Nothobranchius furzeri: one gene and its partners. The protein of the gene in region 1 interacts with the protein of each later gene in a pairwise test. Links are inferred from orthologs where the notes say so. Each region holds a gene or a part of one and is shown in the gene's direction. Other genes may lie near its edges. The genes, in order: ccnc; keratin, type I cytoskeletal 50 kDa; meox2a.

The links.
Region 2: the proteins of ccnc (region 1) and keratin, type I cytoskeletal 50 kDa interact in a two-hybrid assay, tested with the Homo sapiens proteins (2 studies listed by BioGRID and IntAct). The two-hybrid records come from large-scale screens. The link is inferred for Nothobranchius furzeri from reciprocal best matches to the Homo sapiens genes CCNC and KRT13.
Region 3: the proteins of ccnc (region 1) and meox2a interact in binary tests that used the Homo sapiens proteins (3 or more experiments, as listed by UniProt). The two-hybrid records come from large-scale screens. The link is inferred for Nothobranchius furzeri from reciprocal best matches to the Homo sapiens genes CCNC and MEOX2.

The regions. Positions count from the first base shown.
Region 1 is NC_091742.1:26,778,603-26,782,355, forward strand, and holds the start of ccnc (cyclin-C), read left to right. Parts: upstream 1-914; 5' UTR 915-1,031; coding exon 1,032-1,063; intron 1,064-1,335; coding exon 1,336-1,442; intron 1,443-1,562; coding exon 1,563-1,647; intron 1,648-3,753. UniProt on the Homo sapiens protein: Component of the Mediator complex, a coactivator involved in regulated gene transcription of nearly all RNA polymerase II-dependent genes.
Region 2 is NC_091745.1:30,568,600-30,572,352, reverse strand, and holds the start of keratin, type I cytoskeletal 50 kDa, read left to right. Parts: upstream 1-1,372; 5' UTR 1,373-1,515; coding exon 1,516-2,037; intron 2,038-2,482; coding exon 2,483-2,565; intron 2,566-3,055; coding exon 3,056-3,212; intron 3,213-3,287; coding exon 3,288-3,449; intron 3,450-3,525; coding exon 3,526-3,651; intron 3,652-3,726; coding exon 3,727-3,753.
Region 3 is NC_091745.1:64,680,735-64,684,186, reverse strand, and holds part of meox2a (homeobox protein MOX-2), read left to right. Parts: intron 1-2,332; coding exon 2,333-2,551; 3' UTR 2,552-3,452. UniProt on the Homo sapiens protein: Mesodermal transcription factor that plays a key role in somitogenesis and somitogenesis and limb muscle differentiation. Required during limb development for normal appendicular muscle formation and for the normal regulation of myogenic genes.

The DNA.
Region 1 (3,753 bases):
GTGACGGCTAACCTTTCTGGTGGGAGATGGACTTGACGCCCGAAGCTGGCTTGCAGGAGACGGACCCTTGTGGCCTTCGAAATGACAGCGATAGGAAGACGTCCTCTCTGGACTTTGGCTCATCTTGATGGCGTTTTAACTGATTTAAGTTCTGCTGAGGAGTGAAGAACGCTCACTCAGTTGTTGTATGGTGGAGGATTTTCATACTCTTCTCACCTATTCCCTCACCACCACAGAGGAATGCTGGACCCTCCCATTCCAGAGGGCGAAGTCCCCACAAACATCTGTCGAGGTCATGATTAATGCAGCTTATAGACTGTAGAAAAAAATAATACACTCAGGGTAAATTACTCTGCTGACCTCTTAAAGGTTTAATTTGAGAATGTTTAGTCTTATGCAATCAAAACAAATATGAATCTAGTTATATTACTGCAGCTAAATTATACCACAAGCAATAACTGCTGTTGAAAAGGAATGGCTGATTAAACGCATATCCTACGTTAGAAAAAAACATATTTTGTACACAAATAATATTTTAAAGTTTTCAGCTTGTTTTTTAATCAATCAATCAATCAATCAATCAATCAAAGCTTTATTTATAAAGCGCCTTCCGCAACCCTGTCAGGAAGCCCAAGCGCTTTACATGTTTAGTGACACGTTCTGTTGTGTAATTATACATTTATACAATGTTTTCATGTTAGTATTGTTTTTATTATTGTTGTTGTTGACTTACACAATTATAAGCCATGTTTTCTTTTCTCTTTCTTTCTTTTCTTTTATTTTATTATTTTTTTAACAAATTATTTAATTCCACGTTTATAAATAAATAAATAAATAAATAAATAAATAAATAAATAAATAAAGGGAAACCAGCGCGACTGCAACCCCGGAACCATATTTCTAAGCTACCCGGTAGGTCTTTGGTGTTACACCAGCGTTTGCTAGCAAAACTACTTTTCTTTTGTATTCGCTGGTTTTGTAGGTTAAAACATTAAATACAATTATTTTTTCCGTCTTCAAACCGAAACGACATGGCGGGGAACTTTTGGCAGAGTTCACATTAGTAAGTTGCCATAATTATCAGACCTGTTACGTCCAAATGTTTTAATTCATCGCTTTTGTTGTGAGGCCTTGCTTGTTGCGACTGTTCGAGCTAACACTTTAGTTTATTCCCACCGTAAGTTTTAATTTATTGAATAGATGCAATAGACAGATAAATTAAAAGTACCAGTTTTTTACAAAGATGGAAGTTCCTTTTTAATTGTTTGACCATTCGTATCGTGCCTCTTTCTGTTGTGTTGTTCGCGTTTGGTTTATGTCTTATTTTTTATTTAGCCTTCAGTGGGTTCTGGATAAACAAGACCTAATGAAAGAGCGCCAGAAGGACCTGAAATTCCTCACAGAAGAGGAGTACTGGAAGCTGCAGATTTTCTTTGCAAATGGTAACTTTTAAAATCACCTGTAATAACGTGTTTACTTCAGAAGCTCGTTTATGTGTAGCTGTAGATACAGTTAGTGCATTTCCCTTGAACATATCACGTTTCTATGTTTTTTTTTTCCAGTGATCCAGGCTTTAGGTGAGCACCTGAAGCTGAGACAGCAGGTCATCGCCACAGCAACAGTCTACTTTAAACGCTTCTATGCCAGGTGAGAAGCTGTCTCAGGTAATGATGGAGATCAATGTTGATGCCATCACCAGCTCAGGCTCTTTAAAAACCTTAGTGTCTTTTTAACTCGCGGTGTTTTATTTTACTTACAGAATCAACTCGGATTGTCACGATATTAAAATTTCAAACTCGATTCGATACGGGGGGGGGACTCGATACTCGATTTCGATACTATTTAAAAACACCAATTTATTGAACAAGTTTATTCAAAAAATAACATTCCTCCATTTATATTGCAGAAATTAAATGTTAAGAATTAAGTGTGTAACGTGCTTAAACCTTTCAAGTATCAGCATTTTTTTTAAACGTGCATACAAAAACTGGCGAAAGTTAACACTTTAAATCATGAATTGTCTCACTATATATACACTATTTGCAGAGTGATGTTTTGCTGCTTAAACTCTGTTTAAGGTGCATTTTTGTCATAAGATGTAACGTCATATGTTTTGTTCTGTACTTTTGAACAACTCTGTTGGTCAATAAAGGGAGAAAACGAATTTCTCCACAGTAGGACAAAGGTACATCCACCGGTAATCTTAATAAAAACAGACTGGCGCACGGCAGTGACGTCATTAAAAGCGCTGGTTAGATTAGCCGCGGCTAGTCTGTTTACGCCTAGAAATCCCAGACCCGCTCCAAACGAACAGGGGAATCACGTTAATGATTCCTAACAAAACCTTTCGACATGAAGATGTTTTGGTGCAGATAATGTCTTATTTCGAGGCTGCACCATGGGTGCCCGTCCGCACCCGTTATATGGATATACACTGACGGCGATTCGGCGATGGATCTACGGTAAATACCCCGGGGAATCCAAGTAGCACCAAAGTTGTCGGCGTGAGTAAACAAACGTACTGCATGCTAGAAATTAAGTCCGGGTTGCAATAAACGGGAGTTTCCTTTAAGCACATAAGCGTGAATATACAACTACGTGGCGGACTTGGTATGCTAATTAAGTTGGGCTGTGAAGCGCCTCCCAAATTCACTGTTTATGTTTTTGTTTATTTATTTGGCAGACAAAACTTGGATCGGAGACAACTCGCGTGGGAAATTGCAATGTAGCCATGCGGCGCCTTCTTCTTCTGTTTGTCTGGGAGGCGGAGGCTGCTTTACGGCATCTGGCTGTCGTGCGTGTCGGTGTACTTGAAGAAGGCTGTGTATAATAGTCCATAATATCGATACCACAGGGATGGAATATCTCATTTAGATACCACTTTTAGCATCGTTTATATCTAGGTATCGATTTTTTTGACAACACTAGAATCAACACATAAACCTGAAATAATTCCAATCCTCCCACTTAAACATACAGGTTAATTCTTATCATTCAGCTTTGATTTACTCTTTAATCAACTTATAATGTCAAGTTTTTGTGCTGTTGCAAGCTATGAAAATGCAAACTAGAAAAGGGTGGTGTCGGTACAGGATCGGCTCGGGGTCCGTCGACTGCCGATGACGTCTAAGTAGTTGATTGGCTGAACATGAACCTTAAGCAATTACGTAATCACGTTACGTTGTTATCACGTTACGTTGGTCCAGGTAAATCTTTCTGTTGGAAAGATGGACAACTTTTACAAAGAAATCCATCATTACCTCTATGAAAATACACTTTTAGCATAGAGCTGCATGTATATTAGGGCTGAACGATTAACTGCATGTGCAATTAAATTGCGATGTGACAAAAGGAGATTTTCTAATCTCAAAGGCTGCAATTTGGCAGCGAGTGGTTAGCGCAATGCTAATATACATGGAAAAACCCATAGGAATGCTAATGCTAATATCACCGATTACATGCTTACAAATTATGAATTAGAAACGTGCCAAATGATTACATTTGGAGTCTAATAGAAAGTAAAACTACCATCAATCAAATAAGTACAGACAGGTATTTTAGTAAAGCCAGAAAACTTTTAACTCCAGAGTTTTGGCTAGCAGCTATGAGCGTAACTGAACTACGCATGGACAAGACGTCAAAAACTCTAAACACAAAATACTTCAATAAACGGGACACACTTCTTTCCTGCAAATACAATTTCACAGGTGTTGCTAATACCTATGATCCTTCAAGGGATGTGCTCAAAGAGGA
Region 2 (3,753 bases), on another chromosome or scaffold:
TGGAGGTGGCCGGGGAGAGGACGGTCTGGAGCTCCCTAGTTGGGATGCTGCCCCCGCGACCCGGATAAGCGGAGGAAGACAACGACGACGACGATAAACATAAACAAGTGCAGGACATTTACCAATAAAGGTCAGGATCAGAGTTATGAGGATTTGAATCAGGTTCAGCATCTATGTAAGTGTCAGGCAGGGTCAGAGTCTGCATTAAGATCAGGGTCCTGGTTGTTGTGAAGGCCACAGTCAGGATCAGGGTTAGTGTCTGGGTCTGAGTCACCACAAACGATCAATGAGCAACCATTCACCCCAGGAGCCAGAATCTTAGTTGTGCATTTGGGTGTGGCTCTGTTGGAAATCTGCATCCTCGAAGCTTCAATTAGAAAATTTTTTCTTTCTCTTAAACAAACAGAGGATTAAAGAAGCTTTCTGTTGCTTCACACCAGCACACACCTGGGCACACTTGTCCCCCCAGTATATTCTACAGGCTTGTTTCTCTGTGAAACACTTTGAGGTTCATCACTATGGCAACAGCAGCCAGGGGCATTTTCCCATAGCAAATGCCTGAGTGGGGACATTGTGAAGTGACAGGTGAGTGCTTGGGGCCGGAGGCTGTTTCAGATCCTGAAGCATCTCACTGAGAGCTCTTTGTGCTGAGAAAAGGTTTAACGCCGGCAGCAAGACAATACCAAAGTTACATCATCCGGGTCGCAGCCAGGCCAGCAAAGCTGCAGGTATTCACAAGTTCTGGTCGTTAATCACGGCTTCTGATTATTAGCTGCAGGTGAGCCCTGCATCGAGTCATTTCAATTTAATACACATACCGCCCTGCCATAACACTATGGCCACCATCAAGCAGGTCAGTTCTGACCCATCTTCTCCTGGACTCCACTGGAATTCTGAAGTTCTGATGGGATTCTGGCTCCAGCAACAGCAGATCCTTTAAGTCCTGAAAGTTCTGAGGTGGAGTTTCAATGGATCAAACTGAGATCTGCACTCAGGGGTCTGTTCCTTCAAGGGTTCTTGATGCATTTCAGCAGCTGTGCAAGACCTAGCGCATCTCTCTCTCGGGGTTTGGTGCTTCTAAAGGTCAGACATCACAGTTTGATTAAAAACTCTAGAAAACAAGAGTCAACTCCGAACATGCTGTCAGATCAGAACCCTTCCAGTTCAGCTCCTCCTAAAGGTAAAATGTTCTGATCCCCTCTGGGTTCTCCAGCTGCGGGTTGTCAGCCTGTTCCACTGTTAGCTTAGTAATCAGGAAAATATTTTTAAATGGCACAATTAAAAAATTACTGTCTTAAATGTCATAAAAACACCAATAAACTGGTGAAGAGCAGAAACAGAATCAACCTTCTCACGTTCCTTCTCTGTGGGTGTGGATCTTAGCCCTGCCCCCTCACCTGTAGCCCTGCCACCTGGAGATCTTTAAAAGCAGCAATCCGCTCCTCTTTTCCTCACTTCTCTCCTCTCTTGCTCCCGAGAAGACAGACAAGCAAGCACCTCTCCTTCTGCTTCATCATGACGACCATGATGTACTCTTCCTCCTCCTCCTCCCGGAGCTCCGGACTGGGCGGCGGTCTGGGCAGAGCATCCTTTGGATCTGGCCGAGGCATGAGCTCATTCAGTGTGGCCGGAGGGGCAGGAGGCGGTGGTGTGAGGGTCTCCCAGGCCAGCCGAAGCTTCTCTGCTGGAGGTGGAGGTTTTGGCTTTGGTGGAGGAGCTGGTGCAGGTTTTGGTGGTGGTGCAGGTGCAGGCTTTGGTGGTGGTGCAGGTGCAGGCTTTGGTGGAGGAGCAGGTGCAGGTTTTGGAGGTGGCTTTGGTGGTGGAGCTGGAGGGGATGACAGCTTAATCGGCAATGAGAAGTTCACCATGCAGAACCTGAACGACCGCCTGGCATCCTATCTGAGTAAGGTGGCGGCGCTGGAGAAAGCCAATGCCCAGCTGGAGCTGAAGATCAAAGAGTTTGCGGAGTCCAAGATCAGCCCCTCGGCCCGGGACTACAGCGCCTTCTACATCATTATTGCAGAACTTCAGGGCAAGGTAAGGATAAGGGACCAGACTCTGGTTTCAATCTGTACACAAATTCCATAAGAAGTCCAGAATGTGGAGCTTTAATCTGAACTGATTTTGTGTTACTTTCCCACAAACTTTTAGTTTTAAAAACAAAAACGGTTTGAACTGCAGCAGCTTGTCTTCCACACAAAGCACTAACAACAAAGCAGAAATCTGTTCAGTAATTTGAGGCTGTGAGAAATGACTCTGGGCTGCCAGTGACTGGACATCACTCTCAGGTGAATGACCTGTGTAAGCGATCCAGGCGAAGCTGCCACACCCAAAACACGATGACACTTAAACATTCTCATCTCACAATCAGCTTCTCTGGGGTGTTTCTTTCCTCCTCATCATCCACATTATGTTTCTATTCATTGCTTCTAATTCATGTAATGGTTGTTTACTTTTAGTAACAACATGTCACTGATTTCAGATCCAGGATGCCATCATCGCCAAAGGAACCGTCCTGCTGAGCATCGACAACGCCAAACTGGCTCAGGACGACTTCAGAATCAAGTCAGTCACTTGATCACTCCTGACATGTTTGTTTGTTTGTTTTTTTCTCTCTTTTTTAGTCTGTTTATTCTAAAGAATCAACTTTATGTTTGAAATATTTAATTATTGGTAGAATTATAACAGGAGCTCTTCCACTGGAGGTCAGAAGCAGCAGCACGCCCTCTGCTGGCTGCACTCAGCAATTTGATTTCAGGATTTATTCCAGCAGTCCCAAATTTTATTTTTGCTAAAATTTTAAAGTCCTTTAACATGTAGGAAAGAAAAAACACTTATTTTATCAATTTATTCTGAAAATTTTTAAAGATTTTCCCCTTTTAGTAAAGCTTTAGATCTTTTATAAGTAATTAAATTACTTAAGAGCCACAAAGGGATTCTGGAGAAAAAGAATTTGTTTTATGTTTTTCAGAAACTGATTGTTATTGTGTCCCAGTGTTTGTTCCTCTGATGTAATTAACTCTGGTTGTGATCCTTGGTTCTGAACTCTGTGCAGGTATGAGAACGAGTTGGCCATGCGTCAGTCGGTGGAGGCTGATATTGCCGGGCTGAAGATGCTGATGGGAGAAGTTAGCATGGCAAAGACAGACTTAAGCATGCAGATCGAGAGTCTGAAGGATGAGCTAGAATCTATGAAGAGGAACCATGAGGAGGTACCTAGACCCTAGTGGACACCGGTTGTTGGTTTTGGTGTGAATACCATCATCAGTCCCCCCCCACCCCCCTAGGATCTGGCATCCATGCGCACCCAGGTGAGCGGAACAGTGAACGTAGAAGTAGACGCTGCTCCCCAGGAAGATCTCACAAAGGTCATGGAGGAGATCAGAGAACACTACGAAGCCGTCGCTGCCAAAAGTCGCAAAGAGCTTGAGGGCTGGTTCCAGGCCAAGGTAGGACCTGGGCAAGAGGAATCATGAGACAAAACCTGCAGAGCTTCAGGTTGATGTCAATTTCTCATCCCTTCAGTCAGAGGCTCTCACCAAGGAGGTCGCCACCACAGAAATGACTCTGAAGACTTCAACAACCGAGGTGAAGGAAGTGAAGAGCCAGCTTCAGGCTCTGGAAATCGAGCTTCAGTCTCAGCTCAGCATGGTGAGAGACAGTTGTGGAGGATAAGCGGTCTGAAAGGGGTTTGGTTCATGTTCTGACTCTGTGGTCTCCTCACAGAAAGCGTCTCTAGAAGTTTCACTCAGC
Region 3 (3,452 bases), on another chromosome or scaffold:
AGTCAAGTTAAGTTAAAGTCCCATTAGTTGTCACACACACACTGATATGTGTGCAAAATTTGTTCTCCGCATTTGACCCATCCCCTGGGGAAGCGGTGAGCTGCAGACACAGCTGTGCTTGGGAACCAGTTGGTGGTTTAACCCCCCAATCCAACGCTTAAATGCTGAGTGCCAAGCAGTGAGGCATTGGGTCCCATTTTTTCAAGGTCTTTAGTATGACCCGACCAGGAATTGAACCCTGATCTCCCAGTCTTAGGGAGGACACTCTACTACTGGGCCACTGAGCTGAGGCAAGGACCTTGGTGGTCTGATCCTTGGCTACAGAAACTGGCTTCCTTGATGTGGATCTCAATGTTCAAGCATAAGGATGATTATTTTCATTGGTGGACTGGCCATATGGGGGCCCTGGAGAATCACAGAACAGCCGGTCTGCTCCAGGCTGGTGCCACCCACCCCCACATCACCCGTATAGCGATATTCACAGGCTGAATAAATGTTCCAGTCCATCCATATGTTTTCTTGCATCAGGATTCCTTAGGCTGCAGCTCAGTGATCAACTTTGTTGTAGTCTCTTCTGATCTGTGGCCACATATTTTGGACACTCAGATGAAGAGAGGGACAGAGCTGTCAACTCACCTCTACCTTGTGGTGAGTGGGCTTTGGTGGTGGGGGAGGACTTGGCAGGCTCAAATGTAATGTGAGGGTCTGCTGACATCCTGTGTTGGAGTCTCCTGCCAGAAGGAGCTTCAATTCCCACCTCTGACAAAGTTCCAGGGGAGGCAGGGGAGACTGAAATCAAGTGGGCCATGTTGTGTGCCTCCATTGTAGAGACTGGCTAGAGCTGTGACTGCAAGGTTGCCTGTGCCTGTCACAGTGGTAACCTTCCAACCCACTGGTGGACACTGATGGTGATGGATGCTGTCAAGCTGAAAGAGTCCTATTGGGTCTTTCTGGCCTGTGGGACTTCAAAGGCAGCTGACAGGTGCTAGCAGTCCAAGTGGAATGAATTCCATTCAGGAAAACAAGACTTCTGCAAGGCTTCGAGGCCATTCTGGTTCACCATTCAGTGTGTCAGGAAGGAGAAGCAAAGCATGGCCCATACTTTTTATGGTTAGATAGTACACTGCTGACCTTGACTTGCAACAATGTGGACTGGTGAGCAGAGTACTTCAAAGGCCTCCTCAATTCTTCCAGTGAGGAAATGGAGTCTGGGGACTCTGGGTAGAGCTCTCCAGTCTCTGGATACGAGGTCACTGAGGTGGCCAAAAAGTTCCTCAGTGGCAGGGCCTCATGGGTAGATGAGATCCAACCAGATCCTTAGGGCTGTGGATGTTGTGGAGCTGAGTTGTTTGACGCAACTCTGCAACATTACATGGACATCGGAGAAGGTTCGTTGGATTAGCAGACCGTGGTGGTGGTCCCCCATTAAAAAAAAAGCCAAAGGGGGATCACATTCCTGAGCCTCCTTGGCAAGGTCTATTCGGGGGTTTTGGGGAGCAGATGAGGGTCCATCGGATTATTGAACCTCAGATTCAGGAGGAGCAATGTGGTTTTCGTCCTGGGTGTGGAACACTGGACGAGCTCTATACCCTTAGGGGGTCCTGGAGGGTGCGTGGGAGTTTGCCCAACCAGTCTGGTGTGTTTTGTGGATATGGAGAAGGCAATTAAATGTGTCCCTATGGGAATCTTGTAGGGGATACTCCAGCAGTATGGAGTACCAGACCCCTTGATACGAGCTATTAGGTCCCTGTGCGATCGGTCAGACTCAATTTCAGTGGGATTTAGACTCCACCGAGGCTGCCCTTTCACACCAATTCTGTTCATAGCTTTTATGGACAAGACTTTTAGGTGCAAATGTGCTCAGAGGATCTCTGCTTTTTGCATGTGGTCTTGTTGGCTTCATCGTACCATGATCTCATCTCTCCCTGGAGCAGTTGCAGCCAAGTGTGAAGCAGTTTCATAAAAATCAACTCCTCTTAATTGATTTATCAGATGGATGGATGAATTTATTCAGATTTTTTGTAGGTTTACAAAAAATTCGTATTGTTTCACTTTTACTAAAGCTGTTGTTTGAAGGCTGTTTTGCACCAGGATGTAATTGCCAGAGTTTGTGCAATCATCTAGACAGAACATGTAGAGTTTGAAGCTTAAAATCTCTCTGGAATGAGTCATTTCAAGGTTTAGCTGTCACCTTGACTTCCCCAATTCCTTTCTGCTTCTCCACATTGCGATCTGACTGCTGCAAAACCTCTGCTCAGTGATCACACAATCCAAATTCATACAAACCGCCAAGACACAGAATGTTGACATTTCTGTCTGTTTCCCCTCACAGGTAAAGGTGTGGTTCCAGAACCGGAGGATGAAGTGGAAACGAGTGAAAGGTGGCCAGCAGGGAGTCGCAGCTCGAGAGAAAGAGTTGGTGAATGTCAAAAAGGGGACATTATTACCTTCAGAGTTCTCTGGCATTGCAGCGCTCCACCATTCAACGGACTCCTTAGCCAACGGGGACAGTCATGACAGCGATCAAAGCTCTGAGCACGCTCATTTATGATGCACACACATACACAATGGTCCCAGCTCTGTCTGGACTGTGGGCCCAGCCTCTGCCTCACAACCATCTGTAGGACTGCTGTCTGGTGATTCGCCATCGTCTTACAACGACGCTAAATAAGTGTACAAATACAGAGAAACAAAGTGCTGAAAATAGAATCACCATGTAGTTAAAACGAGAACATGTCAAAGAAGAGTGAATTATTACTGCACAGAAGTGATTTCTCACTTCTGATAAAAACATGTTGAACACCATACTTAGTTAAACCGTTAACATTCCATGTGTGTTTGGAGAAGCAGGCTAAAGCTTTGTTTTGCACTGCTGAACTTACAGTTTGCACCTTAGTGTCTACTGTAAAGGAAATTCACCAATTAATTGAGTTATTAATTCATTTAGGTGCCAGGAAATCTAATTTGCCTTGAAAATATGAATGATATGTAAATAAATCTCAGTTTTGTGTTAATAGTTATACTAAACCAAGACTGTTCAGTTCATGAAGTAATAAACACTGACAGCTCAGCTGACACGTTTGTGCCCGGAGATGATTTTTGTAAAAAGATTTATAACCTGAAGCATAAATTTAAAATAAAATCTTTTGGAGAGAGTTGCAAATTGAATAAAACTGAAACCAGTGGAAAATGTAAATCCTTATGAGTGGCTTTTCTCCATTTATGCGGCCATCTGTCTGTGTGGATCCAGGGTGATGAATGCATGTTCCAGAATGTTCCGGCTGATATAAATTAAACATTTCAGAGTGTGGAAAGCTGGTGATGTGGGTGCATGTTATATTCACCTTGGCCCTGGGGCAGGGCCAGGACTCCCGCCAAGACTCTAGAGAACCCACAAAGGATCAGATCCAGTTACCGAGTCACGATCTTGATCTCATCTTTCACCACATTGT